Danio rerio: one gene and its partners. The protein of the gene in region 3 purifies or fractionates together with the protein of the main gene of each other region. This does not show direct contact. Links are inferred from orthologs where the notes say so. Each region holds a gene or a part of one and is shown on either strand. Other genes may lie near its edges.

What was found. The genes of interacting proteins can lie anywhere in the genome.
Region 1: the proteins of dnajc11b (region 3) and immt purify together in Homo sapiens (co-immunoprecipitation; 3 studies listed by BioGRID and IntAct, with this or other methods). This does not show direct contact. The link is inferred for Danio rerio from reciprocal best matches to the Homo sapiens genes DNAJC11 and IMMT.
Region 2: the proteins of dnajc11b (region 3) and armc1 purify together in Homo sapiens (affinity purification with mass spectrometry; 4 studies listed by BioGRID and IntAct, counting the BioPlex papers as one, with this or other methods). This does not show direct contact. The link is inferred for Danio rerio from reciprocal best matches to the Homo sapiens genes DNAJC11 and ARMC1.

Annotation. Positions count from the first base shown.
Region 1 is NC_133189.1:18,388,535-18,395,089, reverse strand, and holds the start of immt (MICOS complex subunit MIC60), read right to left. Parts: upstream 3,671-6,555; 5' UTR 3,510-3,670; coding exon 3,468-3,509; intron 2,379-3,467; coding exon 2,305-2,378; intron 1,997-2,304; coding exon 1,804-1,996; intron 500-1,803; coding exon 349-499; intron 1-348. UniProt on the Homo sapiens protein: Component of the MICOS complex, a large protein complex of the mitochondrial inner membrane that plays crucial roles in the maintenance of crista junctions, inner membrane architecture, and formation of contact sites to the outer membrane.
Region 2 is NC_133199.1:28,685,258-28,691,505, forward strand, and holds the start of armc1 (armadillo repeat-containing protein 1), read right to left. Parts: upstream 3,671-6,248; 5' UTR 3,506-3,670; intron 1,073-3,505; 5' UTR 1,026-1,072; coding exon 864-1,025; intron 1-863.
Region 3 is NC_133186.1:41,983,248-41,989,551, forward strand, and holds part of dnajc11b (dnaJ homolog subfamily C member 11), read right to left. Parts: intron 5,969-6,304; coding exon 5,852-5,968; intron 5,760-5,851; coding exon 5,604-5,759; intron 5,496-5,603; coding exon 5,426-5,495; intron 5,315-5,425; coding exon 5,257-5,314; intron 2,250-5,256; coding exon 2,107-2,249; intron 2,017-2,106; coding exon 1,887-2,016; intron 683-1,886; coding exon 657-682; 3' UTR 1-656.

The sequences.
Region 1 (6,555 bases), on a different chromosome or scaffold from region 3:
TTACCTTTAATAGGTAGAACTGTCCGAGATATAAACAAAAGCAAGTGATGTGTCAAATAATGATTTAAAAAATCTTGAATGATTTTAAAAATCTTTATAATCATTAACATAAATTATAAAAAATAATAAAACTAACAAATTTAAAAATGTTGAACTATGTTAATGATATGACGTGGTTCGGGAAACTTTCTACTTCTCTGTTTATCTGTCTGACTTCACGGTGGGCTTCTATATAAGTATAAAAGGCATGTACGTTTCGTGAGGTGCGTGCGCATTCAAAAGAGGTTTGCGACGTGGCACTGGGCAAAAGTATAAATTAGCCTTGAGAAAGGTACAAGTCCCACTTACCCTCCAGTGACTGAAGTGCTGGCGCTGGTGCTGGAGCTTCCTCTACAGAAGGTGGAGGTGCTGGATCAGACTTCTTGGCTTTAGCTTTAGGCTGTTTGGAGTCTTTAGTTGCTTCTGACAATGAAGAGATTTGCAGTGGTTTGACAGTCTCCTAATTCAATAAAAATACGAAATTAGCCAACATCATTGATTCTGTCATTAAAATCAGTTATATAATAATAATAATATGCTCACATAGTTGCATAGCTAAATCTAATTACAGAATGCATATTATTTGTGTCTTCTTTAAGAATTAAAGTGATTTTAAAGGGCCATGAAACCCCCGTTTCAACAGCGTGTTTTCACATCTCTAGTTTGGAAAAAGTCAGGAAAGTGGGTGTGTCTAGCGCGGTATAGGTGGGAGTGACGGGGCAGGGAAAGATGGAAGGATTTGAATAAAAATGGGATTTTTCATTTACGCACACGCTGATTTTCACTGAGGCAAAAGAAACACACAGATGCAGAGGAGAAAGACAGAGACTTTGTTTAATGACTGTTGAATGTTTGATACCGCACGTCGTCAGAAAGCCGTTTGTGTGTAGACTATCCTGTCACAAAATGCATCGAAATTAACATGACGGTCTTTAATGTTTACATGTTTACAGAGAACAGCATTTACAGCAGATCTTTCAGTCCATAATATTGTAGTGATATTAATGTACTGTAAGCTTCGAAATGATTTTGACTAAGGTCTGTCTTTAAACACTGAAAGAGTACTGCTGACGATACGAATTAACTTTGCCATTTGAATAAAAAAATAAAAAATAAAAAGACAGATGAATCAACACCAACTGGAGCTGCGTCTTTTTTAAAAGGAGACAAGCAGCAAATGCGGAAAGCCAAGCTCTCGAGTAAAAAATGTTCCATACAAACGTATTTCTGCCGCGTGTTGCGTGCAGTGTAATCTACATGCGAGTCCAGCTGCGCTCTCATAGCGGGAAAATGAAAACAAAACCTTCGTTGCAGGACATTTAAAAACGCAACACAGATGACCCGTATCTCTCATATGGGTAACAATTCTTCTTCTCCCACTTGTTTTCTTCTTCTTTCTTTTTCGAAGCTATCATGCATATTAATGAAGTTGCACCGCATACACAATAGAGCGCACTGTTTGGTTTGAACCAAGTCTTTGTCATGAATGAATGCAGCACACTCAGAGAGGTCACAAAGTACTCCCAGGTATAGAAAGCCAGTCTCTATGCTGAAATACATGCAAGGATCTAATCGGCGTGACGCAGCTTCATAAATTTGTTTCAAACTGGAACAATGAATTTGCTTGAAGTAACGCACAAACACCCTATTTTCACTTCTTTGTGTAATATATGTCCAAATAGTGGTTTTAGCAGCATGGGACACATATATGACTGTCAACAGCTCAAAAAATGTGTTTTGGTTGTTCGTAACCCTTTCACTTACCGGTTTCTTTTGTATAGGTACGGGTGGAGAAGGGGGTGCCCCTAGCACCATGTCAAATAGTTGATCCGAATAGGGAACACTCTTCTCTACAGATGACCGAAATTTTGGGTCCCATTTGGCATAAAGGATAGTCCCACCAAGACCACCACCCACTGTTAAAAGACTAGCAGCCACTATTTTCCCAGCGGAGGATCTGCAGAACAATAAGCAAATAAATAAATAAATAAATAAATAAATAAAAACATTTCTTTAGCTCAAGTGATACAAAATAGGGACTGACAACTATGACATTATAGAAAAAATGTCTACATATGCAGCATAAATGAAATGTAATATGCTTTAGATAAATGTTTCTGCCAAATGGATAAGTGTAAATGTATGATTGAGAAGTCACTCATTTAATAATTGTCCAATTAACTACAAGAAAAATAAACAAATCTGCGTATAAACAAATCACAGTAAACTTTTGTTTAAGTGGAAATTAATTGTTTGATTTTATACCCAGAGTTTCCTGCTGTGGTGTATCTGCGGCAGTGCTGTAATGGATGGGCCTTCACTTTACCACACACACATTGCTGCAGAGAAACAAACAAACAAATCATCTCACATGCTCTACAACAAAATAAATGACGAATTAAAATATTAAGTACATAAAAAATAGCATTGTTTACACTAAATACAAGCATTGTCTTACATAAACGTTAATTAAATACAAAGAGCCACATCTTTCCAATGCGAATGCTATTCAGCGGGTTTCAAATTGGTAATCTTTTTGTGCAGTTTGTATATCTGTAAAGATCGGATATTTTATTTTGAGCTAATTTAATGTTTGTTTGTTTTTGTATGCTCTAAATAATAACACTTCTATTTGGAATTTGTGTGTGTTGGTGGTTTCTCAAAACATGAACTTTGAATGAATGAACTTTTGAATCTTTAATGCTTAAAATGAATCTTTAATGCGTATACATTTAGATGTTGGTTATTTTAACAGCTGTTATACATATTAACAATTGTTAATTTGACTAATTAACATATAGAAACGCAATAGACATGTTGGCAGCGTTTGTCTTGGAAACTTTCTGAACTTTCCCTGGCAAGGTCACGTCCTTCTATTGGACAAAACGTGTGTTTCACGGTGTTTACAGAACAGCGTTACAGCTCTATCATAATACGCTTGGCATGAAAATGGTTCTGGTAAAACACAATTGTATGTAAAACAGACATGAACTCATGTAAAACTAAGATTTTCAGACAGCTGTTGACTAGCTTGGTTATCCGGGTGACAGAAAAAATGAATCATACACATCCCGCCCACATTTACGCAGACGTACACATGAGGTAGTTTATTGGTGGAGAAAGCAGTCACTCACTTAATAGTGACATTTCATTGGCTGAAAGAATTTGCCTATCAAACTGTAAACGCCTCTTTCTTCTCAACGTTACGTCGTTGACGTACAGCAGCACTTCTAGCACTGTGTTCCATCTAAACCGCAAATAACAAGTCGCAACAAATAAAACCATAAACTCGTTATGAAGTTTAATAAATATAGGTTAATAAAATAAATAATGTAGGGTTTATGATAATCCGCAGTTTAATTGTACGCTTTAAAACGCAGGGCCTCGCTGTGGGTCACTGAATGACCGCTCAAGCAGAAGAAACTTACCCGCGCTGCTGCATGTGCCCCTTTCCAACAGACGCGCAGCATGCTTGCCACTTCGGATACTGAGTGTTGGATTGAAGATCAGGAATATGCCACTGGTTTCAGCAACACATCATAAAAGTGAACAACCTTAACAGCAATTTCGTCCCAGCACACTGTAGATTAGCTCCAGCACTGGCGGTGAACGTAGTGACAGAGCAACGCATGCGCGGTAGGCACACCCAACGTGCTTAATACGTCACGAGTTCACAGTAAAGACGGAAAATAATTAGATTTATTTGCTTCTTATTTGAAAATATGCTCATACTTTTAGTAAATACATGGTTATTGTTATTATAGATAGCTTGGAGCTTTCGTTGAGATCGCTGAAATATAGGTAAGTAGCCCTTGCAAATGACAATTACTGGCATATGGCATTTTCTCAATAATCTTTAGTAACACTTCACAACAAGGTCCCATTAGTAAAAATTAGCTAATGTATTTTGTAAATTTAACAATAAGTAATTTTTTTTCAATATTAATTGTTGTCTATACAAGATAGATCAGTGAAATGTTCCCATAACTTTAGTAACTTTATTTTTTATTATATACAGTACTATATTGTGGATGCTACCATGATCAGTTATTGTAGGAGATATAAGGCTATATATATACCTAAAATCTATGTCTGTGTAGGTTATGTGTGATTTATGTAATATAGACCAGTGTTTCTCAACCACGTTCCTGGAGGACCACAGTCTCTCCACATTTTCCATGTCTCCCTTAACCAAACACACAGATCATAAGGGCCCGTTTTTTCAAAAGGTTTAATAAAATAGATCTGGATTTAGTAATCCTGTTTTTGCGATCCGTGATCACGTAATCCAGTTTACTATTTGAGTTTTTCAAAGCAACATCGGATTGGATCAATCTGATCCGGATGGGAAATTTTCAGGATCACTAAATGTGGATAACCAGTGCTCAAACAGGATGGGAAATCACAATGTAGAACTATAGATATTTAAAGTGCAACAAGTAGAATGGCCAGTGTGGGGTCAATATAACTTTATTTTTATTTGAAATTAAAACACACACATTTAAAAAAAATAAATAAATAAAAATTTAAAACGAGAAAAACCCCACCCTATCCTCTTCCAGCAGTACGCTCATCTGAGACCTACAACACAAACACTGTACACTGAGGATATTTATAACAAGTTTCAAATATAGATGTATTGAATAAAAAAAAAAAAGACTTAATGTCTAACCTTCACAATAATTTCAGTCTTCCTCGTCTGATGAGGAGAGACCAGCTAGAAGGCGAATCTCAAGTATGGCCTTGGTTTGCTGCAATTTGGTCAGTCAGAGTCAGTTGTTCCTCTGCCAGATGAAGTTGTGCTTCTGCCCTTTCAGTCTCTTTTTGCAATAGTTAAAAGTGATTTAAAAAAATTGAGATTCTCATTCTTTGCATTTTTTTTTGTTTTGTTTATTCTGTAATCATTGCATACATCCCTAATAAATATTCTGAAAAGAAAAATATTTTACCATTGTGATTAATATATTTATAAATTAGTGACAGAATCAAATTTCTTGTTTTTAGTCAATTTAGATAGCTGTTTGGGGGATTATTTTATGAGGCCAAACTCTTTCTACTTTGCTGTAGGCCTATACTGAAAGGCTGAATACGATAAAGCCTACCTAATCACTGTAGCCTAATGAATGAACAAATACAATTAAAACCTTATGAATAAATAGGATATCTTGTAAGATACTGCATGATCCAAATATAGTAATTATTTGATACTTTTTTAAAGTTTTCATTACATTTTGGGCATAAAATCCATGCTGAATCCACCCTTCTGAGTTTAATCCAGATTTTTTTGGATCGAAGTGATCCAAATCCTACAAAAAAGGTCTGAAAAACCCAAACTCAAGGTTTGATCCGGATCAAAATCAAGATTGGATTACATAATCTAATCTGATTTAGTAATCCATTTTTTTCTTTTGAAAAACCCATTTTCAAGATTTGTTCCAATCCCTTATCCAAAATCCTAGTGGATTACTTTTAAAAAACCGGGCCCTGCTCATTGGAATAGACTGAAAGACCGGTAACTGGTCTGACAGACAAAGGAAAGATCTAAAACATGCAGTGCTGGTGGGCCTCCAGGAAAGTGGTTGAGAAACATTTGATATAGACATATTTGCCCCCTATAGATTATTGGTGTAACATGCTCTAAAATGGTAGAATTTAACTTATTTCAAAAAGTAAATTCATAGATACTATACCACTGGTGAGAAAGCAGGACTTTATTGAATTTTAATGTCATTACAGGTAAAGGTTCCCAAATTACTTTTACACCCTGACAAACAGCAAACGTCAAAGTGTAAAGTCTTTATTAGTGTTAATGGCAAAATGCTGTTAAAAATAACAAAACATGCTCCCACAAGACAACTTTATTTGAAGATGGAGCCTTTAATTGCATTTCAGTGCCTAAGCCATTTTCAATTGCACAGGGCCGTTTTACTCAAGTAATGTAAAGCTGTAATTCCTTACAAAAAAAAATTTAATCATATTTACATGCCCAGAGAGTAAACCTTATATAAAGGCTCACATCTCCTAGAATCTTATTCTCCCCGATTAATTTTAGACAGATTACTCACATTTGGAAACACACTGAACACAAACTGTGATTCTCAGGTACAGGAACATATGGATTTTTCTTTTGTTTTATTGGGATGTATGATGTGTGGGCGCTAAAACAGAAGCTTTTCAACTATGTGTGTTGAATCTACCATTAAGTATGTTATAATTTGCATAAATTAGCATTTTCTTTTAATTTTATTGAAAAATATTGGGAAGTATGAATTTAATTAATGACTGTGCAAGTTAAAACCACCAACAAAAACCCCAGGAACCCATGTTATGAATCTATAGACTAAAGATGGACACATCAAGTCATGTTTTTCCTTTTTTTAAATAAGTGCAGGAAGCAAGACGTAAATGAATCACGCATGGGCTATTCTGGATCGAGTTGTTCAGTTGCACGTTGTCGTACGGGTCTCTTCTTGTATGATGGCCACCGGCACACTGGGCAACAGTGCCGCCCTCCAG
Region 2 (6,248 bases), on a different chromosome or scaffold from region 3:
CGTTTGTTCATTTTTAACAAATCTTTTGTATGACTCAGGGAATAAATCATTCATTTGCGCATGCGCTCATTTGTGCAAGTGGAGCTCACGTGCTACCTTGTAGAGCTCTGTTTTGCACAGAATGCGCACGTGTGGACTCAAACCATATCGAATGAAAGACATTGGATAATCCTGCATCGTGTTGGGGAATCATATTGATATATCTCCAGAACTCAATATAACGCCCAGCCCTATATACTGTTAAACATATTAGCACACACAAGTCAGGAATCTGTGCAAGTGTGTGGATGTTTCCCAGTGTCAGGTTGCAGCTTTAAGGGTATACGCTGCATAAACAAAGCTTTGTTTGCCAAACAAAGTTGGCGGCTCATTCCACTGTGGCAACCCCTGCTTAATAAAGGGACTAAGCCAAAAAGTAAATGAATGAATGAATGAATGAATGTTAATTGCAAGTACAGAAGTCAACATTTAAAGTGGATAAAAAAAGATTATCCTAAAAAATTGTTCTAAGACAAGAACAGGTGTTTTTTAATAGTTTAAGAACTTTAAACTAATTAAAAGTTGATTCAAATAAAATTTCAACTACAGTAGGTTTTTTTTTTTTTGCAAAACCTTTTTGTTCCTGGGATTGTGACCTCACAAACGCTACATTTGCATAAACCACGCCCCCCGGTGAGACATTTAATACATTGTGCCCTAGGTGGATAGCTAAGCAGAACACCCTGAGCCAACTAACCAATTACATTTTTCTGAGGAAGGGGCTTCATAAAACCAAAAATTTTTATTAATTTACACCCCATAAGCATAAGGATGTCTTGAAAAATAGCTGATTAACCACCCATTTAACAGCAAATAGACCTTACCAAGAGTGCGGAGTAGACGACTTGAGGATTGGGATGGTCGAGAAAAAGGATGAGGCCGGAGAAGCAGCCCTGATCTTCAACTATAACTCTCCTGTTGAGGGGGTCGGCAGCTAAGTCCCTCAGCTGATTCACCACAGCCAAGGCATCAGGCTCCCCGCTCATGCTGCTCCCACTCCAAGGGCCATGCACAGAAAACACACCGCTCCAAGCTGAGGTAAATAAAAAATATTAATATTATAAAACAGCTTGATTTATTTCTGTAAACAAGAAGAGTTTTCATTCATGACAGAACACACATTAAAATCTGTCTTTAAAAATACAAGTTAGTATAAACTGGTTTGCCTGAAGCATTCATATGATGTGGTTTTTTCGATGAAGATAATAATAATAATGATGATAAACATATTTTTAATGAAAGCCTTAAAATCAAATGTCTGATAATGGTGACATTAGAAATAATAGCAATAAACTGGATTGCTTTAAAATTAGGATTATATATAAATATATTGGAAAAAGATAATAAAGTACAAATATATACTCTTTCATTGTTGTCATATGTACACTATAGGGTGGGGCGATTAATTGAAAAGTAATCAAAAATCGACCTTCAGAACCTATAATCAATCTAATTTTTCCTGGTCAATATTTTCAATTACTTTTCATAGTAATTTTTAGATTGTTCTTTTTAGGCAGTGTGTGTTTTAATTTTAGCTGTTCAACACTTTTTTTTCAATAAATATTTATAGTTAGTAGATAAGCGTGTTTCCTTCAGTTGATAAGTAATGCACCCTTCATTTAAAATAGCATATTTACTGAACATTAATTGAACATGCCGATTTGGGCTGATTTGGAAATCACAAGCCCTAACACACTAGCAGTCAAGTTTTTCCATATCTTCAGTTTTTATGAAGCGTTCAGGCAATACATTTTGAAAACAGTTTTTGCAGCTTAAATCAATTTAAAAACATTGCAATATAAACAAAATCATATATGTATTCACAGGATTTATTTAACTCCAGTTCGCCTCCATAGAATATTTCCCAACTGTTCTCAGTTATGTTTCAAATGTAAGATAAACATTGGCACAGTGATGCATGTATTTTGGTATGTGACAAAATCAAAATGTACAGGAAAGAGATTCACAAAATTATTTTTTTTTAAATGCAAAAACGTTTGCTTAACTTATTGGGTTTTACAGTACTCGGTTGGTTTGAATTCTCTTCATTTATTGGGTTTTACTGTGCTCAAATTGCTTCATTTACCTAAATGGATTAAGTTCACAGTACTCATTATGATTAGTTTTTTAACTTAAATGGTTTGTTGCAATTGGTTCCCTCACTAAAAAAAATTACCTACGATTAACATCAGAGTTCTGAGGTGTTCTGCCGCATTTGTTTCTCCCTCTGGAATTTTCTTGAGGGCACACAGTGACTCTGTCTTTCTAAATTTGGTTTTATAATTTAATTTTATTTCTGGCTTTACTTTCAAGCATTTGTATGCATTTGAATGTCGAACATAAATTGCTGTGCTTGTTGTCATGAGATACCACTACCACTGTTGCGATGTTGAAAATAATTCTTAAAATAAATAAATAAATAAGCGCTAACTTTTTTCAGGATTCTGTGATGATAGAAAGTTGAATAACAGCCTTCTAAAGAAATATAGTTTTTAGTAACATTATAAATTATTTACTGTCATTTTACCCAATTTAATGTCATTAAAATATGCAATTTTTAAAACAGTTTTTTTTAAGTGCAACTTGTCATTATTTTACCATTTAGGCAATTCATTACATTACACTAATAATTAAATACACATTGTCAACAAAATCTCTCACTGCTCGTCCAAAAACATTAACCAACACAAAACTGATATTAACTAAAGTGCTCATGACATTAAAATGAGTTCTGAAAGATCACGTGACATTGAAGTCTGGAGCAAAGATTATATTAAGCTTTATTATCATAAGTATAAATGACATGTCATTATATAAAAAATAAAATGACCATTACTGTATTTCACAAATTAACTTTTGCATATTTTTAAAAAAATGCATCATTACGTACAACAGAACTTTAACAACACTAAACATTTGACTTTATCGCCAATATTTTTGCTTGACGTCATTAATCAACACACATTTGTTTTCGTGCGTCCTTTTCTATCGATTGACCGCTGATCTTTAAACACGTGGCTTGTTATTGGCTTTGCCGGTGAACTGAGTGACCCATAATGGTCATGATGTCTGATTCCCCCAGTACAACACAGCTAGCGAGGCCTTTAAACGGGCCTGTGCTGCTAACCGGCTAACATTAACACGGCATCATCAAGACAATGACAATCCGAGCTTCCATACGAGACACAATTAAGACTATAAAAACAAACATTTGGCGTTCGTTCCCCATTCATATTTAGACCACAAAACATCAATACACGTGAATATTATTGTATTTCTATGAACAATAACAATGCTATAAGACAGAAAGAGAATGTATTATCTGTTTCCATCAGAACACACGTAAATATGTGCTATCGTCTGCTAGTAAATGTTTAGTCGGTGTGTTTAGGTTTGAAGTGATTGTCTCTATCTAGTTAACCTTGTGTGTGTTGTGACAGTGAGTGTTGTCCACGCATAACCTTACAGCAAACACGCCCAGGACGCTCCTCGCTTCGGATGATTCCTGTCCAGTTGCTGGATCCAAAACCACCGACAAATCAACTGCTGACGGAAACCAGACTGGATATGAGGACGACAGTAAACGAAGTTAAAATTCTGTGTGACCAGCTGTTCTGGTCCGGTTTATTTTGCCATTATCTGCGGAGCTTTTTTAGCAGACCGTGTAACACTTCCTGAATTTAGACCAGCTTATTGGAGGAGGTGAGGTATGACGTCGTGCGGTTTTACCTAATCAGAAGGGGTTTTACTAAAGGATACATTATTTTTCATTATAAAGCTAAAAAAAAGAATAGCATGGGTATATATATATATATATATATATATATATATATATATATATATATATATATATATATATATATATATATATATATATATATAATAAAAAGTATAATACATTTGTATTATTTAATATGACAAATTAACGATACACAATATGTGAAAAATACAGTACTACACAATGCTACAATGCGTAAAACTATTGTACTGTTAGATGCATATAGATGAATGAATATAGAAGAATATCATTTTAGTACTATTTTAATTAAATAAATATGTGTATTTGCAGTAGATTCAATACATTAAAAATAAGTATATATGCTTGTCATTTCATTCATTTCTTCATTTATTTTCTTTTAGACTTATTTACATATTAAGTCGTAGTATTAGTCGTAATATTAGTTGTATAATATTTTATTAGTCGTATTAGTATTAGTTAGTAATATTAGTTCATATTCTTCTCGACAATAGATACAATGCATTAAAATAATAAATATATATGCCTGTCATTTCATTAATTTCTTAATTCATTTTCTTTTCAGCTTAGTCTCTTTATTAATCTGGGGTCGCCACAGCAGAATGAACCACCAACTTCCAGCATATGTTTTTAGACGCCCATCCAGCCGCAACCCATCACTAGGAAACATCCACACCTACTCATTCACACACACTACGGACAATTTTAGCATACCCAATTCACCTGTACCACGTCTTTGAACTTGTGGGGGAAACCCACGCAAACACAGGGAGAACATGCAAACTCCACACAGAAATGCCAACTGACTCAGCCGAGACTCGAACCAGCTACCTTCTTGCTGTGAGGGGAACATGCTACCCACTGCACCACCGCGACAACTGCCTGTCATTTCATTTTGTCATTAAATTTAATGACATAACATTTTGTTTATTCATTCATTCATTCATTTTCTTGTTGGCTAGTCCCTTTATTAATCCGGGGTCGCCACAGCGAAATGAACCGCCAACTTATCCAGCACGTTTTTACGTAGCGGATGCCCTTCCAGCCACAACCCATCTCTGGGAAACATCCACACATACACATACACGCACATACACTACGGACAATTTAGCCTACCCAATTCACCTGTACCGCATGTCTTTGGACTGTGGGGGAAACCGAAGCACCCGGAGGAAACCCACGCGAACGTAGGGAGAACATGTAAACTCCACACAAAAACACCAACTGAGCCGAGGTTCAAACCAGTGACCCAGTGGCCTTCTTGCTGTGAGGCGACAGCACTACCTACTGCACTACTGCTTCGCCCAACATTTTGTTTAGTTATCTAATTCTGGTTAATCAAGTTTTAGCAAATTACAACTAATAGTTTTCTAAATAAATGCCTGCTTTTATTTGTATTATATAAAATAAATAAATGTTACAAATGAACAAATCTTTAACAAATCTTAAAGTTTCTTTTTATGGTTATTGTGCTCTCAGGTGTACTAGTTTATTTATTATAATTTATATAATATTACACTTATTTAATTTCAGATTTGGTGTGTGTGTGTGTGTGTGTGTGTGTGTGTGTGTGTGTGTGTGTGTGTGTGTGTGTGTGTGTGTGTGTGTATTTATCTGCATATAGTCTTATTTAATGCATTTTACGTGTCATTTCCATTTAATATTTTTTGTATTGTAGGAGTAACAAATCAAAAGCATCTGACAAGAAAGCAAGTGGGCGACGCAGTGGCACAGTAGGTAGTGCTGTCGCCTCACAGCAAGAAGCTTGCTGGTTCGAGTCTCGGCTGGGTCAGTTGACGTTTCTGTGTGGAGTTTGTATGTTCTCCCCGCGTTCTCGTGGGTTTCCTCCGGGTGCTCTGGTTTCCTTCACAGTCCAAAGACAGGTGCATTGGGTAGGCTAAATTGTCTGTACTGTATGAGTGTGAATGAGTGTCTAATGTTTCCCAGAGATGAATAAATGATACATATGCTGTGGCCACCACGGATTAATAAAGGGACTAAGCCATAAAGAAAATAAATGAATAAATGAATGAAGCAAACAAGTAAAAAAAAAAAAATACTATATATGTGTGTGTTTATTGGACATTAGTAAAACGCATTTGCTTTATATTATAAAACGAAGGCAATTTAAGTAGACAGAACAAAAAGGCAGGTGTTTTCTCTTTAAACTGAAGACAAACAATTATAAAAATTCCAGTTATTGAGCGAAACGACGCTGACATCTGAACAAACAGGCGAAAAACATTCTCCCAGATAAACCACTTATATTCACACAATTCATACACAACAACAAACGATACATCATCACATCAATAAAGTACATGTGTGATACTTTTTAAAACATAATATTTTATAAAGTTATTCAAAGACAAATCCACACATGAATGAATTCAGTCAGTTACATCTACGCATGCCTAGTATATGTGAGTCATACTATGCTCTGATTGGCCAG
Region 3 (6,304 bases):
GCCTGGTTCACACTGTGCAATTCCTAAATGATTGTAGCAAGTCAGACTGATTCTCATTTCACACCACATGATCTCAATTGTCGTAATGTCAAACGCTGAAAAACACAGACACATGCAAGAAAACTCACCGGGAGTGTGACGACACTTTACTATCCATAAACAAACTTAAACGGTGTGAAGTTGTCGTGCCAGTTGCATTATCAAATATGGCATTCTTATTGGTTCTTGGTTTGACGTTAAACTCACACTTGCAGTAGTGTCTGTTATTTTATGAATCTGCCAGAACTTCTTTGGAGGGAAGATTTAATCGCACATGCTTTTATGCGACTTTTGGCGAACATGTTAAACCATCAATCAAAGACCACAGAATTTAGCCGAGGATTTCTAGAATCTTTTAGGATTTCCCAAATTTGTCTCAGAGGACCAAATCTGGCTGAAATCGCACAGTGTGAGCAGGGCTTTAAGGAGACATGTTTGACCCATTCATCCAATGTATGTAAAGGGATTTGACATAGACAACACGAAGGTGATACAAGGGTGACTACAGGAAATGAAGAGGAGCAGCCCTTCTGATCACATGATGCCTGACTGTCCCTTTATGTTCCTTTGATGTCCATTGAGTTCATCTGTGCTTTCTTCCAATGTGTGGAAGATCCTTATGTCTCTGAATCAATTCTATGAGCTGAATGAAAAGAGACAGAACAAAAACACCATCTTTGAATGAAAGTGCCACATTTTAGTTAAAATGCAAGTGGATTTGCTTTCATGGCGCATAAAACAGCATCTTGTCAACAATCAAATCAAATTCTTACAGGCTTCAGATACAACTACAGTGTTTTAGAGTCAAAGTAGATGTTTTGAAGACCACTAAAGATCATATACTGCCTTTATGTAAATTGGTTGCGCTTCTGTTATGCAAATAAAAATCAGTGAAATAAAATATCTCCACTTATCATGCAAATTACAAGCAGGTACATTATATCAAGGCTCCTCAAAGTCTGGAGAGAATTCAATCCTGACCCACACAAAACGAAGAGTTTGAACGTTGCGAAGAGTTGAAATGTCTAACGCCACTATGAATATTTAGGCAGCTGATGAAATACAGACAGTGCCTTTTCTCTCAGTAGACTGCTCTTAGTTTTTGTTGTTTTTGGTCTACCTCTGCATGTTGTTCCCTTAAGTGTCACTTGTCATTTTGCATGAGTTTTTTAAAGAGCTCCTATTATACATTATAAGGGTCATATTTTGGTTTTATGAATCTCCAACAACAGGCTGATATGGATGCAAGGTACATATTGTGCTTACAATGTGCATTTATTTTTACCTAATTCTCCCAGCGATTCGGATATGATTCATTCAGCGATTCATTTTTTCCCAAACCCCTCCTTAGCGCGAAGCTAATCTACACTGATTGAACCAATGACAGTCTGTTGCAATTGGTCAACTGCGTTCAGCACAAGACAGAGTGAAATGCCCAACACGACTTATCAAAAATATTGAAGTAGTCCAAGTGCAGAGTGTATGTTTAAGCATACCTGCCAACACTGGGTTTTTCCCAGATACTCTCCCATATTTCAAACCCATATCCTGCATTTCAGACCATCTCCCGCCACCCTCCCATTTTGTTATTTAAAACATTTTTGATTTATATATATATATATATATATATATATATATACATATATATATATATATATATATATATATATATATATATATATATATATATACATATAATGTGCACATTTATTTATGTTTTTTCTGACCTTTGACACTTATGAAAAATCCACACTTGCATTATATTTTACAATAGGTATACTCTTAAAAAAGCAAAATAAGACCAACCTTTTAAAAATAAAAAATTCCCTGTTTTTCAGTATACTCACATTGTTTAGGTATCCTAAGAGGATCTGTGTCTCCGGACAACACTTGGTGCATTGCACCTCTGAACTGGTACAGCAGCTTTAGACTTTTTTCCTCTCCAACGCAAGGATCATAAAACCCTGGCAAGCCAGCCTGATTAACACAAAACAAAACTAATTAATACAAGAATTTAAGCGAGTTACATTGATGTAAAGAACAGGTAGATTTTTTTGCATGTCTAACCTTTGATGCCTCAGTAAGCATGAGTTTAGAATCTTTCACTAAACACTGAAGCGGGACCGTCACATCAATGACCTTCGCTCTTTCACGTTTCTGACTATTGTCTGACACAAATTTACCATACCACGCATTAAGAATGATGAGACCTAGATTAAACACAAAAACAATATTTACAGTGCGATATTCATCCATTCAGGAATGTAAATCAAGATGTATGAACAGGAAGTGTAGCAGGTGGCTGAGGAAAACCAAACAAGCTGTTGTATTTACAGCTATATATCTACATCAGAAACACATGGACAAGAAATTAACAATTTGAGTTCATTCTTTTCAGCAAACATTAGTATTATTCAGAATACCACCATTCACACTTTTTCTAACCAACAATTATACCTTTTTTAATGAATACACAAAACTATTCCCAGTTGAACAAATACAAGATCAGAATTGAGCATTACTTAAAAAAATATTTTATTTAAAAAGATTCTATGCCTTTTCTAGGTCCAGGAGTTTTTTTTATGGCATAGGGGTGTCAAACTCAGTTCCTGGAGGGCCGCAGCCCTACACAGTTTAGTTCCAACCCTGCGTATGAATGGAAGTCTATGGGCTGATAAGTGAAGTGTGACCGCGGCTTTACCTGGAGGTGTAAAACAAGCCTAAAGGACACAATTAGTTTGGTCAGGTGTGTTTAATTTTAGTTAAAGCTAAACTGTGCAGAGATGTGGCCCTCCAGAAACTAATGCTACGTCCGAAATTGCATATTTCCATACTATATAGTATGCAAAAAAAAAACAGTATGTGAAGTAGTATGTCCGATTTCATCGAATTCGAAAAACAGTATGCGAGAAGTACCATGCATGTTACTCTTATCGCGAGAGAATTCCCAACCATCCTGAATTCATGAATGGGAGTGAAGCAACGGAACTGATGTGGGTGGGTCACGTGATTATGCAAAATGGCGCATATAGTATGTTCTATTCATAAAACTCACATTCATACAATATAGAACATACTTTTTTAACGATCGAGTAGTAAATTCTAATTCAAATGTAGTACCTACTGAGTAATGCAGGGTTCATGCATGTTTTACTACAACAATTCCTTGACTTTCCCAGGACTTTCAAGTCAATTTTCATGACTTAATGTTTCATGTAAGGTCCACGTATACATGGTAAATCATACGAAAAACAATCAACCATTTAATTTATTACAGCATATCACAAAACACACAACAATCTCTTTAGTTTCAATATATTTTTAAATCTATGTAAAATAGATGATGCTTACACAGCAATAATTATATGAGACCATGTTTTTGGCCAAGAAAGTAGTAAAAACAACTAACCCCCATTCCAGTATATAGATATTTTTGAAACTAAATTTAGACACTGTTAATAGTTTGTTAAACTGTTAATAGTAGGGAAAACTATTATAGTAAAGTCACGATCACACTGCACTTTGCTCCATAGACATCCATTCACCAGAAACACAAGCGTGTGTGACAAGTTTCGCATTTCACTGCATTCGAAAGTTCAAGCTTGGTGAATTTGTACCTGCGAAATCGCATCACGTGATTGCGTTAGACCATAGTATAGTTTAGTCATTTAAAATATAGAGCAATTGCTACTTTTATTAACGTCTAATCAAATTGTTTAACCCTGCCCCTTTTCGCAGCGCTGTACGACAGAATTAAGCACAAGCTCTAAATGACTGCACCTTCAGCAAACCTCCTAATTCCTGCAGCACGAGGACTTTATGATTGTTTATGAGCGTCAAAAATGGCGGATCTGTTTGGCGTGTCACTGCATATCAAGGGACTAAGGGTGCTTTCACACCTGCCATATTTAGTTCGATTGAATCGCACTAGAGTTCGTTTCCCCTTTTGGTGCAGTTCGTTTGGACAGGTGAGAATGCAGCAATCGTACTCGAGTGCGCACCAAAAGCGGACCAAATAAGCGTACTGAGACCTGCTTGAAGAGATGGTCTTGGTACACTTTCAAACGAACCCTGGAGCGGTTCGTTTGTGGTGAAAATATGATTCGTACTAAAACAGGTCCAACCGCAAAAAGTACTGCGCGTTTTGGACTAATTCAGCTGCCCTAGGCCGATGCGCTGTGCATTATGGGATATGGAGGAAAAATATTTGTTGTCCGTGCTGTACCAACAGAGAGAGAGAGATAAAGGGGAAAATATTACCTGATGGATTGTTGGTAATATTTACGCAAGATGACCATGTCGCAGTTTAGCTAAATTAATTTATGTCTCCTCCTGAAGTGACGAGTGATGCATTAAACACTGTTTTCCAGCCGCGGCCACGCTTAATTTTCGTAATGTATAGTTTGTCTAAGGCAGGGATACAATCAGCCAGCGCAGTCATCCCTCCAGAGTAAAAGGTTTTGTTTACCTGCGGGAGTTTACTGGCATTTTCCCGCATGTGAATTCTGACCAATCAAAAGGCAGTTTAGGAAATATGTTTAACAACATCTGGCCAATGAGAGATGTGGATTTTGTCAGATGACTGCATTTTGGTTCGTTTCAACTGGTTCGGACCAAAGCCAGCAGTGTGTTGTGAAAACGACCCAAAGACGGCAGAAAATGCAACAATGTATCATTTATTGCCCTTGGTCTGGACCAAATGAAGCAAACTACAGATGTGAAAGCACCCTAAAACGATATAACTAATGAAATCTCCACTGTGCTGAGCGAGAGAGCTTCTTACTGAATAGCGCATCATCGATGACGAAAGCGTGCTCAGGCCCAAATGTAATGTGAGTGTGGGCCGTCGGGGGAGACAGGAGGGGCGACAAGCATGCTTCGGCCCGGTTCAAAGCAACTGTACATAGTGTGAGTACAGCCTAAATGTAATTCCCATGACTTTTCCAAAACATTTCTAGGCCAGAAAAATGCCATGTCAAAATTTTTGACTTTTCTAGGTTTTCCAAGAAAGTATGAGCTCTGGTTGTAATCGATTTTAGACGCAGCTGAGTTTGACATCTGTGGCATACACTGTGCACATAGGATATATAACTTTAGGATTGATTTAGTTCGTTTTTTTTTTTTAAATGAATGCAATAATTATCATTGGTAATTGCCTGTATATCACATGTTCACAGAGCTTTACTTGCATCTATTTAAATGTTTAAAAAAACAAACCCATTTTAGATTCCTCGGCATCAATGATTCTCTTCACCGACTCCTGCATCAACAAAACCTGAAAACCAAAGAAACAATAACACGAAAACCTACACATCTGCCCTGATAAATGATTGTTTGTGTTTGCAAGAGGGAGAATTTGTTTTGTCTATGCATTTATTTTACTTACAGCAGATTCAGCCTCTTGCTTCCTGCGAGCAATTTCTGAAGCAGAATCTTCCTTCTGTTTCTCCAACTCCCTGTAAACAACCACACAGTCAGCGCCCTTCATCAGAGAATCCAAGGTAAAGACAGGGGTTTCAGGAAAATGGGCGGTTTCAGGGCAGTAATTACGGATAATAACTCACTGTTCCTTATGGGCTTGTACATAAGGCATGATAATAAGCTTCTGGACAGCTAAGTAGATGGCCAGCGGGCCCACAGTGGCATAAAACACAGCGCTGGGTAAAATCTGGTCGGTCAGGTGAATAGGGAAGAGGTATGTTTGACTGGCTCTGTTTAACCTGTAGAGAGAATGAAAAATGGCGATCAGAAATGGACCACCCATGAGCAGCTTGTTGTTCTGCTGAGCTGTGCTGCTTTTTGCGGTGCTAACCTAATTTTGAGGGAAACTCCTTGGGGGACACCGATGCTGACGGTTGCAGCTAGAACACTGTGGCGACTTATCTTGCGCTCAGCACCATATTCAACCACAGTGCCAAAGAAGCCTGTCCTGTAGAACACAAGTCAATGAATCAGAATAGATGTACAGGGTATCCACAGGGTCTTAAAGTGTGTTAAATCTCTAAATCAAATGTTTAGGGTTTAAAAAGTCTCAAAACTACACAAATATTGTGTTGTATGTCTTAAATCTTTTTTTTAATAGGTCTTAATTTTGTTCATGTATAGCTACCCAAGCTGGCCTTCAACACCCATTCAATCACCAACAATCCCAATCTCAATTTACGCCAGTATAAATCTAAAATTTCACACACGATAGTCTTAAAAAGTGTTTAATTAAACCCTCATGAATTAAGCTATGACTGAGGAGTACAGTGAATGTTCAAAA